2 linked regions of the Anolis sagrei genome follow. The protein of the gene in region 2 interacts with the protein of the main gene of each other region in a pairwise test. Links are inferred from orthologs where the notes say so. Each region holds a gene or a part of one and is shown on either strand. Other genes may lie near its edges.

Evidence for each region.
Region 1: the proteins of NT5C2 (region 2) and MOB3B interact in binary tests that used the Homo sapiens proteins (3 or more experiments, as listed by UniProt). The two-hybrid records come from large-scale screens. The link is inferred for Anolis sagrei from reciprocal best matches to the Homo sapiens genes NT5C2 and MOB3B.

Annotation. Positions count from the first base shown.
Region 1 is NC_090022.1:202,404,046-202,414,240, forward strand, and holds the start of MOB3B (MOB kinase activator 3B), read right to left. Parts: upstream 4,338-10,195; 5' UTR 4,172-4,337; intron 1-4,171. UniProt on the Homo sapiens protein: Modulates LATS1 expression in the Hippo signaling pathway which plays a pivotal role in organ size control and tumor suppression by restricting proliferation and promoting apoptosis.
Region 2 is NC_090023.1:214,181,494-214,191,891, reverse strand, and holds the start of NT5C2 (cytosolic purine 5'-nucleotidase), read right to left. Parts: upstream 4,501-10,398; 5' UTR 4,393-4,500; intron 1-4,392. UniProt on the Homo sapiens protein: Broad specificity cytosolic 5'-nucleotidase that catalyzes the dephosphorylation of 6-hydroxypurine nucleoside 5'-monophosphates.

The sequences.
Region 1 (10,195 bases), on a different chromosome or scaffold from region 2:
TTCGCTTCAATAAAGAATACGTTGATATCCGCCAAAAAGTCAGTCAAGTAGCAGCATATGGAATAACAGTCCTCCTGCTTCACTATCTAGGATTCAACCCTCCAGACCCTCTAGCTTTTTGAAATTATGATTTTGGTTTTCAAAAAGAAAAAGTCCCCAAGTTCCCACCCTGCTCTCTACATCTCCCTCTATTTGGGAGTTAAACAATAGGCAAACAAAAGCCTTATTCTGTATTCAGCTTTCTGTGGATAATGCTTTCCAATGCGGGGGCCTTTACTCCTTCGTATATAAAAAATGTAAAGGACACTAGGCACTTTCTAAAGGCATCCCAATGCCCCCCCCCCCCCATCTTCTGTGTAGGTGTGTTTCAATTCATCATTATTCCAAAATCATGTACTGCATTGAAAGAAAGGCGGAGAATCCAAACTTTTAACAGATGTCCCAGAATAGATTTCTAGCTAACTTCCCACCAAACTAATTATTATTATTATATTATTATTAATTCAGGTAAAGGTAAAGGAAGACGAGATATGGCTGGCATGACTGCATGGAGCGCCATTACCTTCCCACAGAAGCGGTACCAATTTACTCACACCTGAATGTTTTCAAACTGCTAGGGTCAACTGCAGGAGCTCACCCTGCTCCCCAGATTCGAACCGCTGACCTTTTGGTCAGTAAGTTCAGCAGCTCGGCAGTTTAACCCACTGTGCCACCAGGGGCTCATTATTATCATTATTATTTATTACAGCTTGAGAATTCATTTGCTAGAATTCCAAAGTCTAAAATTGTCCATATGGGTGGCTGACATAGGACAAATCTGTAGACTGACATTGGGCAAATCTAACATAGGACGCTATAGACTTAATAAAGTTTGACACTACTGCCATGGCATAAGGCTATGGAATCCTGGGATTTATAGTTCAAGGAGTCAACAGCACTCTTTGGCAGAGACAGCTAAAGGTCTTGCAAAACTACAACTCCCGGAAATCCATAGCATTGTGCCCTCATAGTTAAAGTGATGTTAAACTGCTCCCGTTCTACTGTGTACATCAGTGGTCTCCAATCTTTGGGCCTCCAGGTGTTTTAGACTTCGGCTCCCATAGTTCCTAACAGCTGGTAAACTGGCTGGGATTTCTGGGAGTTGAAGTCCAAAAGACCTGGAGGCCCAAAGGTTGGGAACCACTGGTGTAGATGCACCCATAGGGATGTGATTGCTTTTTGTGATAATTTAATGCATATAGTTTCATGACCAACATGATGGAAACAAGTGATGGAGAAAATTACTCAAATGTATTAAGATGTATGTGCAACATCCATGAATTTTGTGTTTACGCACTGGTCTCATCTCCAGGATAGCTCGTAGTATAGACTAATTCATTCTACAGTGTAGTAAGGTAAAGGTAAAGGTTTTCCCCTGACATTAAGTCCAGTCGTGTCCGATTGGTGGTCATCTCCATTTCTAAGCCAGAAGCCAGCATTGTCCGTAGACACCTCCAAGATCATGTGGCCTGCATGACTGCATGGAGCGCCGTTACCTTCCCACTGGAGTGGTACCTATTGATCTACTCACACTTGCATGTCAGCCCCAGCTTCAGGTTGGCAGAAGCTGGGGCTGACAGCAGAAACTCATGACAGCAGAAACCGGATTTGAACCTGCGACTTTTCGGTCAAGTGTAGTAGATGCACCCTTTAACTGCCACAACTCAGTGCTATTTAATCATGGGAGTTGTAGTTTTTCAAGACCTTTAGGCTTCTCTGCCAAAGAGGGAATGTGCCTTACTAAACTATAACTTCCAGAACCTCAAAACACTTTTGGTCCCAAGCATTTCTGCTAAGAGAGACTCAATGTGTGTATCGTCGTCGTCGTCATCATCAGTTTCCCTGCTGAAAATGTAGTGAAAGGGGTGTCAAACTGAATTAATTATAGTGTAGATGCACACCCTGCCTCCACAGGGACTTTAATTTGCTCTCCGTGATCCTCCTTCCTTGGCAAGGCAAGAGGCAACAACCCAGCGCATGACTACTCCAACCAGGCACAGCTTTTGGAAACAGAGCACTTCCCATCCCCGCCACACACTTCTTTCTGCGGGCTTTTAATTCAATTCAAACAAGTCACGCTCAGCCCTTGGGTGCTGCAGAGGGAGCCCAAGTCACAAGGCACGCCAAGGGCCCAAGGAGCCTAACCTTGGAAAAAGAAATATAGGATTTCCCAAAGTATATACTGCATTAATAAACTTGTCCTTCTGGATTTTGCATTTTTTTACATTTACCCCCAAAACATGCCCAAACCCCTTGAAAGATCCTAATAACAGAGAAGTGTGGCCTAATGACAATAGTAACTTTCTAGAGAGTTTTGCAATTTGATGCTTCGGCCAGGCAAAACGAGACATAAACATTGCCATTTAAAATAGAATTAGAAACTCACTTTAGAATAGATCCAGTTTGACACCACATGGAAATGGCAGGCCATAATGCGATGGAAACATGGGATTTGTAGCTTAGTGAGGCACCAGCACTCTTGGGCAGAGAAGGCACAAGGTCTTGTCAAAGTCAAACTCGCAGGATCCCCATAGCATTCTGTTTGACACCATGTGGAACTGCCATGTCTCAATACTATGGGGATCCTGGGAGTTGTAGTTTGCCAAGGTCTTTAGTTTAACACCAAACTACAACTCCCAGGATCCCCATAACATTCAGCCATGGGTGCATCTAAAGTGCAGAATCCATGCAGTTTGACACCACTTGGAACTGTCATGTCTCAATGCTATGGGGAACCTGGGAGTTGTAGTTTGACAAGGTCTTTAGTTTGTCAAGGTGACCAAACTACAACTTCCAGGATCCCCATAGCATCCCTGCAGTTTGACACCACTTGGAACTGCCATGTCTCAATGCTATGGGGAACCTGGAGTTGTAGTTTGACAAGGTCTTTAGTTTGTCAAGGTGACCAAACCATAACTTCCAGGATCCCCATAGCATCCCTGCAGTTTGACACCACTTGGAACTGCCATATCTCAATGCCATGGGGATCCTGGAAGTTGTAGTCATGCAGTTTGACACCACCTGGAATTGCCATGTCTCAATGCTATGAGGATCCTGGGAGTTGTAGTTTGCCAATGTCTTTAGTTTGATACGGTCACCAAACTACAACTTCCAGGATCCCCATAGCATCCAGCCAAGGGTGCATCTACATAGTGTAGAATCTATGCAGTTTGATACCTCTTGCAACTAACTGCCATGTCTCAATACTATGTGGATCCTGGGAGTTGTAGTTTGGCAAAGTCTTTAGTTTGATACGATTACCAAACTACAACTCCCAGGGCCCCCATAACATCCATGCAGTTTGACACCACTTGGAAGTGCCATGTCTCAATACTATGGGGATCCTAGTTTGCCAAGTTCTTTAGTTTGACACAGTCGCCAAACTACAACTCTCAGGATCCCTATAGCATCCCTGCAGTTTGACACCACTGGAACTGTCATGTTTAAACGCTATGAGGTTCCTAGGAGTTGTAGTTTGGCAAGGTCTTTAGTCTGACAATGGCTACCAAACTACAACTCCCAGGATCCCCATACCATTCAGCCATGGATGCATCTACAGTGTAGAATCCATGCAGTTGCAACTCCCATGTCCAAGTACTATGGGGATCCTGGGAATTGTAGTTTGACAAGGTCACCAAACTACAACTCTCAGGATCCCCAGAGCATTGAGACACGGCAATTAAAAGTGGTGTGCAATTATATTAATTCTACAGTGTAGATGCTCCTTGAGTCGAATGGGTTTGGGGCTATCCTCAAACAACCCAAACTACAACTCCCATATAGCATGGAGACAGGGCAGTTCAAGTATTCTGTCCTATGATGCAGGGGAGTCCTTGATCCCCACGAGGCTGGCTTCCTATTCTCTTCCAAAGAAAGGGAAGCAAGGAGCCAACTTTTGACGACTCCAATCTGTTGCACAATCCGAGAGGCGCCCTCTCCCCCTCCTCTTTGGCTGGGACACGAGAAAGAAATACCCACGCACGACTCCTTCCTTCCACGCTGGGCTTCCCTCTGAAAGCGATCCCAGACCCCAATGGGGCGAGGCAGCCAAATAATCACGCGGGATCGTGGATTTGGTTGAGTTGGGGAGAGGAACAACGTGCTCCCCCGGTTTTTTCAAAGAGAGTCTTACCTTCAAGCTGTTGGATCCGTCCTTCCACGATCCACAAGAGAGAGAAAAGGCAATCCCACGCCACGATAGAAAAGAAAAAGGAGGCAAAGATCCCGTTTGGAGACAAGCAGAGACACCCACAAAACGCCCCGGACTCGCGCGGGACCGGATTGGAAACAGCGCCCCCAGCGGACGATGTCGGGTACTGCAGGGCTCCCTTTCTTAACCAATGGAAGGGCCAAAGCCCAGGGAGCGTGGCTAAAGTTCGAAAAGGAAAAAAGACGCAAAACCAAGGGAAGGAAAGGCACCCTTGCAATTTTGCGCCTGGAGAGGAAGGAGGCGCTTTTGCCTTCTTCCTCCCAAACTTTGGTCTTCTTTTGGACTTCAACTCCCAGAAGTCGCAACCAACTTGGCCAAAGGCATGGGATTCTGGGAGATGAAGTCCAACACATCTGGAAGATCAAAGTTTCTCAACCACTAGGTTAAGAGGATTCTGGACTTGTTTATTTGTTTGTTTGTTTCTCATTGTTAGTGTATTCTGGCATTTAATTTTGGCCATTTTTGACTGGAAACAGCCCTGAGTCTCTTTGGGGAGATAGGGCGGTATATAAATAATAATAATAATAATAATAATTATAATTATTATTATTATTATTATTATTATTTGAAACACAACAAGATGAGTCCACAGCAAACAAGGTTCAATTCAATTATTATCATCATCATCATTATTATTATTAAAACAGAACAAGATGAGTCCACAGCAAACAAGATTCAATTCTATTATTATTGTTATTGTTATTATTATTATTAGAAATATAACAAGATGAGGCCACAGCAGACAAGATCACTCTGCTGGCTGTTGTACTGGATCACACGTCGGACACTTCCCAAGTGTCTAGGACTGTGTGATGTATCGGCTAATAATGTGTGCAGATCCCAGTAAGGTGGCCTTTTGCAGATAGCAGATGGTAATTTTGTCAGTGCTGATTGTGTTTAAGTGCAGGCCAAGGTCTTTAGACACTGCACCCAGTGTGTCGATCACCACTGGGACCACCTTGACTGGCTTGTGCCAGAGTCTTTGCAGTTCGATATTATTATTATTATTATTATTATTATTATTATAGCATTTTAATGATTTTAATAATATCTATATAAATAAAAATGTAATGTTCATTTGTGGGATTAACATAACTCAAAAACCACTGGACGAATTGACACAAAATTTGGACACAATACACCTAACAGTCCAACGAATGTCCATCACTCATAAACACATACACACAAAACCCCAGTGGAACAGACTTTAAAACCACAAAAATACATTACATATACATATACACTCATATACATATGCACACATTCATACACACACACATGTATATATACGCACGCACACAAACATACACACATACATATACATACACACACATATATATACTTATACACATGTACATATTCATGCACATATACATATCCACATGCATACATATATACACACAAATATGCATGTAGACAAGCACACACATATACGCAATATGCATTTACAGATATACACAAATATATACACCCATATATATATACACACATACACACACACGTGGCAGGGGATGGCTAGTATATATATATACTTTTATTATTACTGTAATTATATTATTTATGTAGCATTTTAATGATCCTAATTATATATATAGTATTTCAATGTTGCATTTTGTATTGTATTTTATAATCTGGTTTTTATGTATTTGTTTATCTGTCCTGTGTGTGAAAGACCTATGGTCTAAGCATTGAATAAACTATTTACCTACCTATTTCCATATTTGTGTGTTGTGGTTTTTAAATCACACATTTTTTAAAATGTTGTGAACCGCATTGTTTTTCAATCAAGACAGAATCAGGATATTATTGTTGTTGTTGTTTTATACAGTTCACAAAGAGCAAGGATGCTTCTACACTGTAAAATTAATGCAGTTCGACACCCCTTTTAAGTGCCATGGTTCGATTCTATGGAATCCGGGGAGTTTGTAGTCTTCTCTTTCAAAAAGTGCTGATGGCTCACCAAACTACAACTCCCAGGATAGCATAGCATTGAGACATTGTGGTATCAAACTGCGTTCCACAATATTGATGCGCTCTAAGACAGTTCAAAATAGTCCAGCACAAAGCTTCTGCTTAAGACTGAAATGGCAAGTCTGCACCGCTCTAGTTCAAAATCTCTTGGGATGCTTCTACAATGTGGTACGACACCACTTTAAGTGCCATGGCTCAATGCAACAGAATCCTGGGAGCTGTCAGAACTCAAGACACAATTGAAGACGTATCTTCACATTTTTGAGCCTGATTGCTAAATAATGGAGACATGTCTTCCATTGTGATGCATCCCCTTCTGGCTGGCTTTTATGAAATCTTACTGAAAGATGGCTTTTGTGGGAAGTAAGCCAATGACAGAGACAATGAATTGGAGTTAGAGTTAGTTAGTAAAACAGAGTGAGTTACAGAAGAGTTATTGGAACCATTTTTGGTCTTTGGAACACATTTGGAGAGGCAGGCCCCATCTATCCAAACAGCATAATGCAGCCAACAACAACAACAACAACAACACAACCTCACCTATGAGGATGCCTGCCATAGATGCAGGTGAAATGTCAGGAGAGAATGCTTCTAGAACATGGCCATGTAACCCACAACAACCCAACAACAACAACACTTTATTTGTATCCCACCACCATCTCCCCAAAGGGACTCAGGGTGGCTTACGGAAAGCACTCAATAGTGCTTTAAAATGAAATCACGGAGGCCACAAAACACATGCCGCCAGTGCGCACTGCAGCACACATTAAAGAGAACATACAGTACATTTTTAAAAGTTGCAGGGAATGCACCGCAACAAATACCAGTGTATCCGAGGTCCAGGGCAAAATTGGCTCCACAAAATGCAGAGTGCACTGCAGATACCCACTGCTGCTGAAGCACAGTAAATAAACCAGAATGAGGGCTACTAAGACCCCCCCACCCAGGGCATGACTAATTGACTGTCTTTGAGTAGTAATTGATCACCTCTGCTCTTCACGGTAATCCCTCCCTACTTTTAAATCCCACATGCCTAATTTGCTGATGCGCACCTCTACAGAAATTGGGGGGAAAGTCTGCACAATGCTTAGAGGCCAGGTTCAATATAATCACCATCCTTACTTCAAACTGGTTGCAGACATGGCAATCTAATCACCTGCAGAGCAAAACCAGTTCCTCCCATACCAGTTCTAAGCTGCATTAAATTGTAGTGGGTGGGAATAGTGAATTGTAAGAACAGTGTTAAGACATTTAACCTATGGAATCGTATGGACCAGTTCAGTGAATGCAAATCCTGACCTTTGTTCCTGTTATAGCCGCTCGGAGTTGCACTCCAACAACAACTTCAAAGCCACACAGATTCCAATCCATGGTTAGGATAAGTGAGACAGTTATAGTAGTAAGTTATGGAATGAGTCCTTCAAATGAGTAAGGGAAAGGGAGCAAGGGAGTTTTAAGGAGTGCAGGTTAGTGAGATATAGAAAATTATTTTCTTAAAGTAGAGAGCTGGATTTCTTTGGTTTCTGTCTCTCCCTGTTATCTGTCAGAAATCTTACGGGACCTCCTTGTCTATGCTATTGCCACAGGTGCTATGCTCAAGGGAGTGTTTTCCTTAGCTTGAATAATTCACACCAAGGGGCCAATCATTTCTAGTTTCAGGAAGCCCCCATTCATCCTATGGGTTAAGCACCAGAGCAATGTTAGGAAACAGAATTGGTTGAAAAGAGGAACCCAGTCTTTTCAAAGCTCTTCACTGCATTTTGGCTACCAAAAATGTAAAAAATAAATGCTATACATCACTTTTCAACATGTGCAAAAGTTATTTTAGCTTCATCATTGCACTTAGTTGCCAATGTGACTACTGTACAGTAAGGTAAAAGTTTCCCCTGACATTAAGTCTAGTTGTGTCTGACTCTGGTGGGTAGTGCTCATCTCCATTTCTAAGCCAAAGAGCTGGCATTGTCGATAGATGCCTCCAAGGTCATGTAACCGGCATGACTGCATGGAGCACTGTTACCTTCCTGCTGGAGCAGTACCTATTGATCTACTCTCATTTGCATGTTTTCGAACTGCTAGGTTGGCAAAAGTTGTGCCTAACAGCGGGAGCTCAGCCAGCTCCCTGGATTTGACTTGCCAACCTTTCAGTTAGCAAGTTCAGCAACTCAGCGCTTTAACCCACTTTAACGCCATCAGGAGGCCAGTACTATAAGTAAAAATAATTTTAATGCTATATTATATAATATTGTATAATGTACTGTATATACATAATTAAATTTTACTTTACTGTGAATATATACTATACTGTATAATGTATTACAGACACAAATAACTAACATTGTGAGAATTGCACTGGCCCCAATTTTATAATCACTACTGACTGACCACAGACTGAATAATCAAAGAAGGTATGCGATCACTGAGGTTGCACTAAAGAATGAATGTAGTTTGATATGACTTGAATTACTACGGCTCAATGTGGTTTGTAGATCTTCCTCTAAATAAGCATAGACCACATGGAGACTACATGTAGTGTAGATGCACCCTGGCTTTAAAAGTAGCTTGTGGTGCTATCTCTGCATGAGTTCATTTCTCAGGAGCAAAAGGATACATTATAACACACCCCTTCTACTATATGGTTTTTGGGAACATAGCCTTTCCCTTTCTACATGTACACCACAGTTAAGCAGGAAAAAGTCAAAGGCTGAGCTATTATTATCTGACTGGTACAAGTTCCCAACAGTGGGCTGTATGTTCTCTCCAGCCCACCTGCCATTTCTTGCACTCTCCTTCCCTAACTATCACATTTTCCCTTCTGACATCTTCTTTCATGAACCAATCAGCAACCCAACACCCCAATTCATACACTTCTCCCTGTTCTCACACCTTACCATACTTGTAAAATATAGATCAAGTCCAAACATAGAGTTCATTTATGTTTCACATGCACCTTACACACATTGCCTGATGGTAATTTTATTTCTTGATTAAGTTATGCATGAAACAAAATTTGTGTACACTGAGCCATTGTAAAGCAAAGGTGTCATTTTCTCCCCCATGCAAATGGACACTTTTTGTTGGAAATAGCAACTTTCCAAGCCTCCAGTAACTGTTTGTAAATGTGTATAATTGTTAACCTATATTGTATGTACATTTTGGTTTGCCAGTTTAACTGTACCTCTTTGGTGTGAAGGAGCTTCAGGCACAGAACTCCATGTTTGTTATCCAGTTTGCATCAGACCTCAGTGGAGGTGGATGCATGTTGCTGTCTGGACTTTAGTAGAGAAGTATGATTTTCAGACTTCAGTGAGTATGGTTATACAGTTTGGACTATATCTGTATCTTAAAGACATTCGACTATTGACTTTGTTGTTGTTCATTCGTTCAGTCGTTTCTGACTCTTCGTGACCTTATGGACCAGCCCATGCCAGAGCTCCCTGTCGGCCGTCACCACCCCCAGCTCCTTCAAGATCAATCCAGTCACTTCAAGGATACCATTCATCCATCTTGCCCTTTGTCAGCCCCTCTTCCTTTTTCCTTCCATTTTTCCCAGCATAATTGTCTTCTCTAAGCTTTCCTGTCTTCTCATGATGTGGCCAAAGTACTTCATCTTTGTCTCTAATATTCTTCCCTCCAATGAGTAGTCGGGTTTTGTTTCCTGGAGGATGGACTGGTTGGATCTTCTCGCGGTCCAAAGCACTCTCAGAACTTTCCTCCAACACCACAGTTCAAAAGCATCTATCTTCCTTTGCTCAGCCTTCTCTGAAGTCCAGCTCCCAAATATACAAGAAGTTTGTTAGTAAACCTGAGATGTTATTTTTAAAGAAGACTACAGTGGTCCCTCACTCCTTTGTGGTCCACTTATCGCAGACTTGCTGTTTCATGGGGTTTTTAAAAAAGAAAATAATTTCACCCTCCTTACCTTCTTCATCATTCTCCTCTTTGCCGCTTGGGGCCTCTTGCTGCCGCTTGGACCCC
Region 2 (10,398 bases):
CAGAAAAAAAATACTATGGCTCCTTCCACACAGATAAATAAAATTCTACATTATCTGCTTTGAACTGCAATGTATAGCAGTGTGGACTCAGGGCCTTTCCAGACAGCCCTATATCCCAGTATCTGATCCCAGGTTTTCTGCTTTAAATTGGATTATATATGTCCGCACTGCCAAATAATCTGGGATAAACAGAAAACTAGGGATCAGATCCTGGGATAAAAGGCCTGTCTGGAAGGCCCCTTAGATAACTCAGTTCAAATCAGATATTGTGAGATTTTCTGCCTTGATATTCTGGGTTATATGGCTATGTGGAAGGGCCCTATGTCAACCCATGTGATTCTGTAGAGGAAAAAAAAGGACATCCCGTGCCCTTCCACACAGCCATATAACCCAGAATATCAAGGCAGAAAATCCCACCATATCTGCTTTGAACTAGGGGCCCTTCCACACTGCCCTATATCCCAGAATACCAAGGCAGAAAATCCCACAATATCTGCTTTGAACTGGGTTATTTTAATCCACACTTAGATAATGTGGGATTTTCTGCCTTGATATTCTGGGATATAGGGCTGTGTGGAAGGGCCCTGGGTTATCAGAGTCCACTCTGCCATATATTCCAATTCAAAGCAGAAAATGTGGAATTTTATTCAGCTTTGTGGAAGGGGCCCCAGAGCTCATCTACACTGTACAGTTAATGCAATCTCCTCTGCTCCAGTGTTATAAGGTACATCTGCACTGAAAAATTAATACCACTTTAACTGACATGGTTCAATGCTATTTTTGTTTTACAGCGTCTTTAGCCTTCTCGGTGAATGAGTGCTGGTGGCTCAACAGAGTACAAATCACAAGGTTCCACAGCATAGCACCATGGCTGTTAAAGTGCTGTCAAACTACATTTGTTCGACAATGCATATGTGCCACTAGAAAGACACCTGGGAGATTGTGTGAGAGCCTTTTGACTTCATGCATCCCTTTTAATAATGTCTATTTGGAGAGAGGGACTTGGGGTTTTACACTCAGGGCCCTTCAACACAACCATATAACTCAGAATGTTGAGGCAGAAAATCCCAAAATATCTGCTTTGAGCTGGGTTATCTGAGTCTGCACTCAGATATTGTGGGATTTTCTGCCTTGATATTCTGGGATAGAGGGCTATGTGGAAGGCAGCCTCTAGGTTATCTGAGCCTCTAGGTTATCTGAGTCCACACTACCATATATTCCAGTTCAAAGCAGAAAATGTGTGATTTTATTTAGCTGTGCGAAAGGGGTCTCAGCCAGCTATTCATACAGCACTTACCAAAGGCACAGGCAGAAGGTGTGCCCAGTCCACACTGCAAAATCAATGCAGTTTGATACCATCATGACCTTAATGACTTAATCTGAATTCCTATATTATATTACTACTCATATTTGTAAGTTAAGCTAAATTTATTTATTTATTTACTTACTTACAGTATTTATATTTCGCCCTTCTCACCCCACAGGGGACTCAGGGCGAATTACAATGTACACATATATGGCAAACATTCAATGCCAAAGACACGCAACACATATAGACCGACAGTCAGAGGCTATTTAACTTTTCTGGCTGCCAGGGGAGCTGTTGCTTTCATCGTCCATATGCGACACTGATGAAGTACTTCTGCATTCCCTACATGCTTTTGCTGGAGTGCTTTGCTGGAGTCATTTTATGGCCTCATAAATTAGTTAAATTAGCCTCCCCACACATAGGTGGTACCTAATTTTCCTACTTGACAGATGCAACTGTCATTTGGGTTACAAAGGTCGACAACAAGCTACACAATTGGTCGGAAGCTCACTCCGAGCCGGGCTGGCTTCGAACTTATGACCTTTTGGTCAGAAGTGATCTTAATGCAGCTGACACTCAGCCAGCTGCGCCACAGTCCTGATGCTGTTTAATTGCTCTGTTTCCATGCTATTTCCTATGCTATTATATGTTTTCATCCACCTTATTGAAACACTTACCCTTTGACTCAGTGGTTCTCAACCTGGGGTCCCCAGATGTTTTTGGCCTTCAACTCCCAGAAATCCTAATAGCTGGTAAACTGGCTGGGATTTCTGGGAGTTGTAGGCCAAAACACCTGGGGACCCACAGGTTGAGAACCACTGCTTTAACCAGTTTCGCATACTGGCCTCCTTCCTCCCACCTCCCCTCCAAAATTAGTCTGTTGTTGCTTGATGCTTGCTTACTACTGTTATGCTGTTTTATGCTATTTTTAATTTGAAATTTGGTATTGTTCTGTTTTTAATTGTATTCTGCCTGGGCTTGGCATCATGTAAGCCGTCCCGAGTCCCTTCGGGGAGATGGAGGTGGAGTAGAAAACTAAAGTAGTTCTTGTTCTTCTGCTGCTGCTGCTTCCTCCTCCTCCTCCTCCTCCTCTTCCTCCGCTGCTGCCTCTTCTTCTTCTTCTTCTTCAACTGCTATGGTTCATTGAAATTGAATCCTGGGAGTTGTAGTTTTGCAAAGTCTTTACCCTTCTCTGCCAAAGTGTGTTGGTGCCTCCCCAAACTACAAAGTCCCTGATACTAATCCTGATACTGTTTAATTACTCTGTTCCCATGCTATTTCCTATGCCATTATACATCTCCCCGAGTCCCTTTGGGGAGATAGAGGCGGAGTAGAAAAATAAAGTAGTTCTTGTTCTTCTGCTTCTTCTTCTTCTGCTGCCTCCTCCTCCTCTTCTTCTTCCTCCTCTTCCTCCGCTGCTACCTCTTCTTCTTCTTCTTCAACTGCTATGGCTCATTGAAATTGAATCCTGGGAGTTGTAGTTTTGCAAAGTCTTTACCCTTCTCTGCCAAAGTGTGTTGGTGCCTCCCCAAACTACAAAGTCCCTGATACTAATCCTGATACTGTTTAATTGCTCTGTTCCCATGCTATTTCCTATGCTATTATACATCTCCCCAAGTCCCTTCGGGGAGATGGAGGCTGACTAGAAAAATAAAGTAGTTCTTGTTCTTCTGCTGCTGCTTCCTCCTCCTCTTCTTCTTCCTCCTCTTCTGCTTCTTCTTCTTCAACTGCTATGGCTCATTGAAACTGAATCCTAGGAGTTGTAGTTTTGCAAAGTCTTTACCCCTCTCTGCCAAAGTGTGTTGGTGCCTCCCCAAACTACAAAGTCCCTGATACTAATCCCGATACTGTTTAATTGCTCTGTTCCCATGCTATTTCTTATGCTATTATATGTCTCCCCGAGTCCCTTCGGGGAGATGGAGGTGGAGTAGAAAAATAAAGTAGTTCTTGTTCTTGTGCTTCTTCTGCTGCTGCTGCTTCCTCCTCTTCTTCTTCCTCCTCTTCTGCTTCTTCTTCTTCAACTGCTATGGCTCATTGAAATTGAATCCTAGGAGTTGTAGTCTTGCAAAGTCTTTACCCTTCTCTGCCAAAGTGTGTTGGTGCCTCCCCAAACTACAAAGTCCCTGATACTAATCCTGATACTGTTTAATTGCTCTGTTCCCATGCTATTTCCTATGCTATTATACATCTCCCCAAGTCCCTTCGGGGAGATGGAGGCTGACTAGAAAAATAAAGTAGTTCTTGTTCTTCTGCTGCTGCTTCCTCCTCCTCTTCTTCTTCCTCCTCTTCTGCTTCTTCTTCTTCAACTGCTATGGCTCATTGAAACTGAATCCTAGGAGTTGTAGTTTTGCAAAGTCTTTACCCCTCTCTGCCAAAGTGTGTTGGTGCCTCCCCAAACTACAAAGTCCCTGATACTAATCCCGATACTGTTTAATTGCTCTGTTCCCATGCTATTTCTTATGCTATTATATGTCTCCCCGAGTCCCTTCGGGGAGATGGAGGTGGAGTAGAAAAATAAAGTAGTTCTTGTTCTTGTGCTTCTTCTGCTGCTGCTGCTTCCTCCTCTTCTTCTTCCTCCTCTTCTGCTTCTTCTTCTTCAACTGCTATGGCTCATTGAAATTGAATCCTAGGAGTTGTAGTCTTGCAAAGTCTTTACCCTTCTCTGCCAAAGTGTGTTGGTGCCTCCCCAAACTACAAATCCCACAGCAACATAGCATTCAAGCAGGGTGGTTAAAGAGGCACCAAATTGTATTAATTCTACAGTGAAGATGAACCCAGAGAGAAAGAGAAGGTTTAATTAAATCAGAGCTCCCTGAGAAAGAGTGCAGTTTAATACCCCCTTTCAACGGTTATGGAATCATGAGAGTTGTAACTTGGTGAGGCCCCAGTACTCTTTGCCAGGCTTGAAGACCCCACAGAAAAGAAGGGCCGTGAGAGGCAGAACATAATAAGCGAGACGGGCTGCCTTTTGGTGACTTTCTTTCTCTCTCTTTCTCCCTTTTTTGGTTTCAGCCGTGGCTCCTGGCCCTGGTCCTCACACACAGACCCGTCTAACGGTCGCTCGGCCTGTTGCGCCCACTCACCTTCCTGGCTCGCTTCCTTCCTTCCTCGCTTCTGCCTCAAAGGAAACCGAGCCGCTGGGCTGCCGCAGCGCGAGACCGCCCTCCACGCGCCGCGCATGCGCAAGAGGCCCCCCTCCTCCCCTTCTTTCCCGCCCTGAATCAGTTAGGGAGCGGAAGCAACGTGCCACTCTCAGGCCGTGCCGCAAAGCGACAGAAGAGGAGGAGGAGGCGGCAACACGTTAACCCCTTCGTTGCTGCCGTGTGCCTTCAAGTCACTTCCGGCTAGTGGTTCTCAACCTAGACTCTAGCTCTGCCAAATGTGGACTTCAACTCCCAAAAGCCTCAGCTGTTTCGTACCACTGAAAAGGGATTCCGGGACCTGAAGTCCCAAACCCTAGGAAACACTGAAGCTTTGGGTTGCTGTGAGTTTTCCAGGCTGTATGGCCCTGTTTCAGAAGCATGCTCCCCTGACGTTTCGCCTACATCTATGGCAGGCATCCTCAGAGGTTGTGAGGTGTGTTACTTCATAGTATCCATTTACTCAGCAGAGAAGTAAGAAGAGGAAATAGAATCATAGAATCATAGAATCATAGAGTTGGAAGAGACCTCATGGGCCATCCAGTCCAACCCCCTGCCAAGAAGCAGGAATATTGCATTCAAATCACCCCTGACAAATGGCCATCCAGCCTCTGCTTAAAAGCCTCCAAAGAAGGAGCCTCCACCACACCCCGGGGCAGAGAGTTCCACTGCTGAACGGCTCTCACAGTCAGGAAGTTCTTCCTAATGTTCAGATGGAATCTCCTCTCTTGTAGTAATTAAAATAAAGAATGTACAACTCATTTTTCCGCAACAACAACAATAATAATCATAATTATAATAATACACTTTATGGGGTTGTTGTAGGTTTTTTCGGGCTATATGGCCATATGGCCATGTTCTAGAGGGATTCTCTCCTGACGTTTTGCCTGCATTCATGGCAAGCATCCTCAGAGGTAGTAAGGTCTGACCTCACTACCTCTGAGGATGCTTGCCATAGGTGCAGGCGAAACATCAGGAGAGAATGCCTCTAGAACAGGGGTCCTCAAACTTTTTAAACAGAAGGCCAGGTTACAGTCCCTCAAAGTGTTGGAGGGCCAGATTATAATTTGAAAAAAGCATGAATGAATTCCTATGCACAGTACACATATCTTATTTGTAGTGCAAAAAACACTTTAAAACAATACAGTAATTAAAATGAAGAACAATTTAAACAAATATAAATTTATTAGTATTCCAATGGGAAGTGTGGGCCTGGTTTTGGCTGATGAGATAGGATTGTTGTATGCTTTCAAGTCATTTCAGACTTAGGTTGACTGAGTGAGGGCCGGGTAAATGACCTTGGAGGGCCGTATCCGGCCCCCGGGCCTTAGTTTGAGGACCCCCACTGTATGGCCATGTTTCAGAAGCATGCGCCCCTGACGTTTCGCCTACATCTATGGCAGGTATCCTCAGAGGTTGTGAGGTGTGTTACTTCATAGTATCCATTTACTCAGCAGAGAAGTAAGAAGGGGAAATAAAGAATGTACAACTCATTTTTCAACAACAACAATAATAATCATAATCATAATAATACACTTTATTTATGTATTGTCGAAGGCTTCCATGGCTGGAATCACTGGGTTGTTGTAGATTTATCGGACTGTATGGCCATGCTCTAGAAGCATTCTCTTCTGACGTTTCACCTTTATCTGTGGCAAGCATCCTCAGAGGTTGTGAGGTTTGTTGGAAACTAAGGAAATTGGATTTATATATCTGTGGAAGGTCCAGGGTGGGAGAAAGAACTCTTGTTTATTGGAGCTAGGTATGAATGTTTCAATTGGCCACCTTGATTAGCATTTGATGGCCTGATAATTTTTAGGTGTGGCTTGTTACTGCCCAGGAAATTCCTTTCTTGAGAGGTGATTAGGTGTTCCTGATGGTTTCTTGTCTGGAGTTCCCCTGTGTTTGAGTTTTGTTTTTTATTTACTGTTTCAATTTTAGAGGTTTTTTTTAATACTGGCAGCCAGATTTTGTTCATTTTCATGGTTTCTTTCTGTTAAAATTGTCCACATGCTTGTGGATTTCAATGGCTACTCTGTGGCTAATCACATATTATGGGTTTTCATAGCTGAACCCAGGTCCCCTCCCCAAGAGTCCTAGAGTGCATCTACACTGTAGAATTAATGCAGTTTGACACCACTTGAACTGCTATGGCCTTTCTCTGCCAAACAGAGCTGGTGCCTCACCAAACTGAAACTCTCAGGATTCCATAGTATAGAGGAGTGCAAGTGGTGGCAAACTGCATTAATTCTACAATGTAGACCAGGCATTGGCAAACTTTGGCCCTCCTGGTGTTTTGGACTTCAGCTCCCACAAATCCTAACAGCTGGAAGTCCAAAACACCTGGAGGACCAAAGTTTGTACCTCAAATTGATTGCCAACCCACCCAAGATAAGGATCCTCCACAAGGATGTTTTTCTGAGAAGTGTATGAACAGCCAGGAGACAGAAAAAGACTCTAGAAATATATAAACACATCTGCTACCTCGAGCAACCACATTATGCTCTCACTAATAGCAGGTCTGGACCTGCTTGATTCATTTATAGGCCACAGAAAGTAATTTGCAGCAGTTTAAGAACTGTGTACTACCCTCAGGGGCAATGCAAGATGATGTCTCTTTCTTCAGCTATACATTGGATAGATTTTTTCTTCACAAAACAGAAAGAGGGACTTTCTTAGCCTTTGTCCCTGGAAACAAAATGTTTTCTCTAATATTATGGGGAAAATGGCACGTGTTAGAGTCAAGGGAGTTGTAATTTTTCAAGGTCTTTCGTCTTCTTTGCTGAAATGAGCTGGAGCCTCACCAAACTACATAGCATTGAGCCGTGGCAGCTAAACTGATGTCAGACCGCATTAATTCTACAGTGTAGATGTACCCTCAATGGGATGTGTGTGCTGCCCTTGTTATTGTTCTTGAAGTGCAAACGTGACAGCTTATTTATGTTCTCCTTTTTTACCATGAGGTTTTACTTCAGTCTTCTTTTAACATTGGGTCCCATGTCAAGAGAAAGGTGAGATACTCAATAAATATGAGTTAAGATAGATATACTAGAACTATCTGGTATATAGACTGTATAGACTGCATTGTACGGCCAAGTGAATATACTGTTTGTTGTATTTCGCTATGTCATAATACAGCATATCAGCGTTTTCTTTTATCTAGATATGAGGAATGTGGAACCCTCCAGATGATTCAATTGCATCTCTCATGATTGAGTATGCTGACTATTCTTCATGGGTGTTTTTGAGCCCACGAGGACAATTTGGCGCCTGTCCCAGCTTTATTTTTATTGTCTTTATGTATTGTTCTTGTGTGCCACTCTGAGGCCCCATCTACATGAACTATTTAATGCTGTTTCAAACCAGTATTGAAAAAAATGGTTTCACTGTGCAGATGATTACATAGGAAACCCTGGAACCATTTTGAGGTCCAGTTGATGAGTTCACAAGCCATGGATACTGATGAGCATTAAGGATTTTCTTTCACATGCTTTTGTGGGTGTTTGTTGTCTGGCCACCACAGTTCAAAGCTAGCTTTGTACTGGATTAAATGGTCCATGTTCATAGGGCCTGCCTAAGACAAACTGATAATTGGGTTTTCTAAGGTTGAAAGGAGTGTTGGATTCAGCCCGTTCGAGTCAGTAAGCACTTTAAATGTTTTGGTGCTGCTATATATATATATAATACATCTCCAGTTCAAAATTTATATGTCAAAAATTGTATGTCAAAAATTGGCATTGAATGTTTGCCATATATGTGTACACTGTAATCCGCCCTGAGTCCCCTGCAGGGTGAGAAGGGTGGAATATAAAAGCTGTAAATAAATAAATAAATAAAATATTAACAATAACAAAACATACATTTTTTGGAAATGAAACAAAACTTACAATGAAATGGAAAATAATGTTTTTTATACTTCCACTTTATTTTTCTTTGAAAAGTTTCCCCCTACTTCTTCTGATTGCAAAATCTTTTATTGTGGGAGTCTTTTTTTTGTGGAATGTGGTTTAGCGGCACTAATTGCACTTTTGCACCATAGGGTCCATGGTAAATCCAGCAATGGAATTTTTCAGTGGTGCTTCCCTTCCCTTGATGCCTTAAGCACATGTTTGTTTTGCTTAATGGCTAATCCAGCCCCGTTGTGTCCTTTCATGTCGGTTCTGACTTAAGGAGACCCTATCTTGGGATATTTGGGGGGGGGGGGGAGCATGTGACTTATCAAGGTCATTCAGTGGGTTTCCATGGCTGAGCAGGGATTTGAACCCTGAGGCACACCTATACTGATCACTTAGGTGGTGAGAAACCAACAAAGGAAGAAACAATTTCATTGTGCAGATAATTACATGTGAAATCCTGGAACTACTTTGAGGCCTGGATGGTGTGTATATGCATCACAGAGACTGACCTCAAATTGGTTCCAGGATCCATGGCTTTATGGCTGGTAATTTGGGGGGGGGGGGGGGTCCATCTATGCATGTTCATCGCGGCATGTAGATTACTGGAGTGCCCTTTCCTTGATCAGTTTCACCATGCAATTTGGGGCCCTTCCACACAGAATATCCCAGAATATCAAGGCAGAAAATCCCACAAGATATGCTTTAAATTGGGTTATCTAAGTCCACACTCAGATCATTCTCATGCCCATTATAGTGTCTATTTCATAGTATCCCTGGACTTTGGCCCCATATGTACTGCCTACTTAATGCAGTTTGAAGCAAGCCTCTGCACTGTAGAATTAATGCATTTTGAGGTCAGTCTCTGTGATGCATATACACACCATCCACTTTAACTGCCATGGCTCAATGATACAAAATCCTGGGAATTGTAGTTTGGCGAGGCACCTGCACTCTGGTAGAGAAGGCCAGAGATCTTCTAAAACTAAACTCCTATGATTCCATAATACTGAGCTATGGCAGTCAAAGTTGTGTCAAACCGCATTAATTTCCATAGTATAGATGTACCTGAACCCTTCCCAAATGCTACAGGTAAAATAAACATGTCTTGTTTATTGTGGATGTTTCTTCAGACCATTGGGTCCTTCCACACAGCCATATAACCAAGAATATCAAGGCAAAATAACCTACAATATCTGTTTTGAACTGGAATATCTGAGTCCACACTGTCATATATCCCAGTTTAAAAACAGATAATTGTAGGATTTTATTCAGCTGTGTGGAAGGGACTTTTTTTTTTTACATTTTGTTTGCATAAACGAGAAAATGCACTAATTTGCTTACTGTCCCTAAGCGAACAGAAGGCTAAAAGCCATGCGCAAGGGGAGGAGAGCCCTTCAGCCAATGAAAAGAGCAGAGGAGGAAATTGTTTTGTGACTCCAGGTCTGTAGCTGGAATGAGTTTGGCAAGACTGTGAACTGGGGCTGTCTCTTTCAAGAATGAACTCGCCGCCCACGCTTTCATGCCAGGAGCTCTTACTAAAGAACAGAAAGCTATCTTATCCCTGTGATCCTTCTCCTAACGAAATAACTGGACATAGTTTGTTTTTTAAAAGATTAGCAAATGATTATGGTTAAACTCTGGGGTGCATCTACACTGTAGAATGAATGTACTTTGACACTGCTTCAATTGCTATGGCTCAATACTATGGGAGTTGTACCTTACAAGGTCTTTAGCCATCTCTGCCAAGAATTGCAGGTTACTCACCAAACTGCAACTGCTATGATTCCATAGCACTGAACCAGGGAAGTTGAAGTGGTTTCAAACTGCATTAATTCTACCTTATGGATGCATCACTGGGTTTGCTGAAACCATTTCCAATCCATTTATTAGAATTTCTCCAACTTATTCTGGCATTTCCAATTTCCCAAAGAGTTTGTTGCTGTTCATTCATTCAGTCGTTTCCGACTCTTCATGACCTCATGGACCAGCCCACACCAGAGCTCCCTGTCGGCTGTCACCACCCCCTTCAAGGTCAATCCAGTCACTTCAAGGA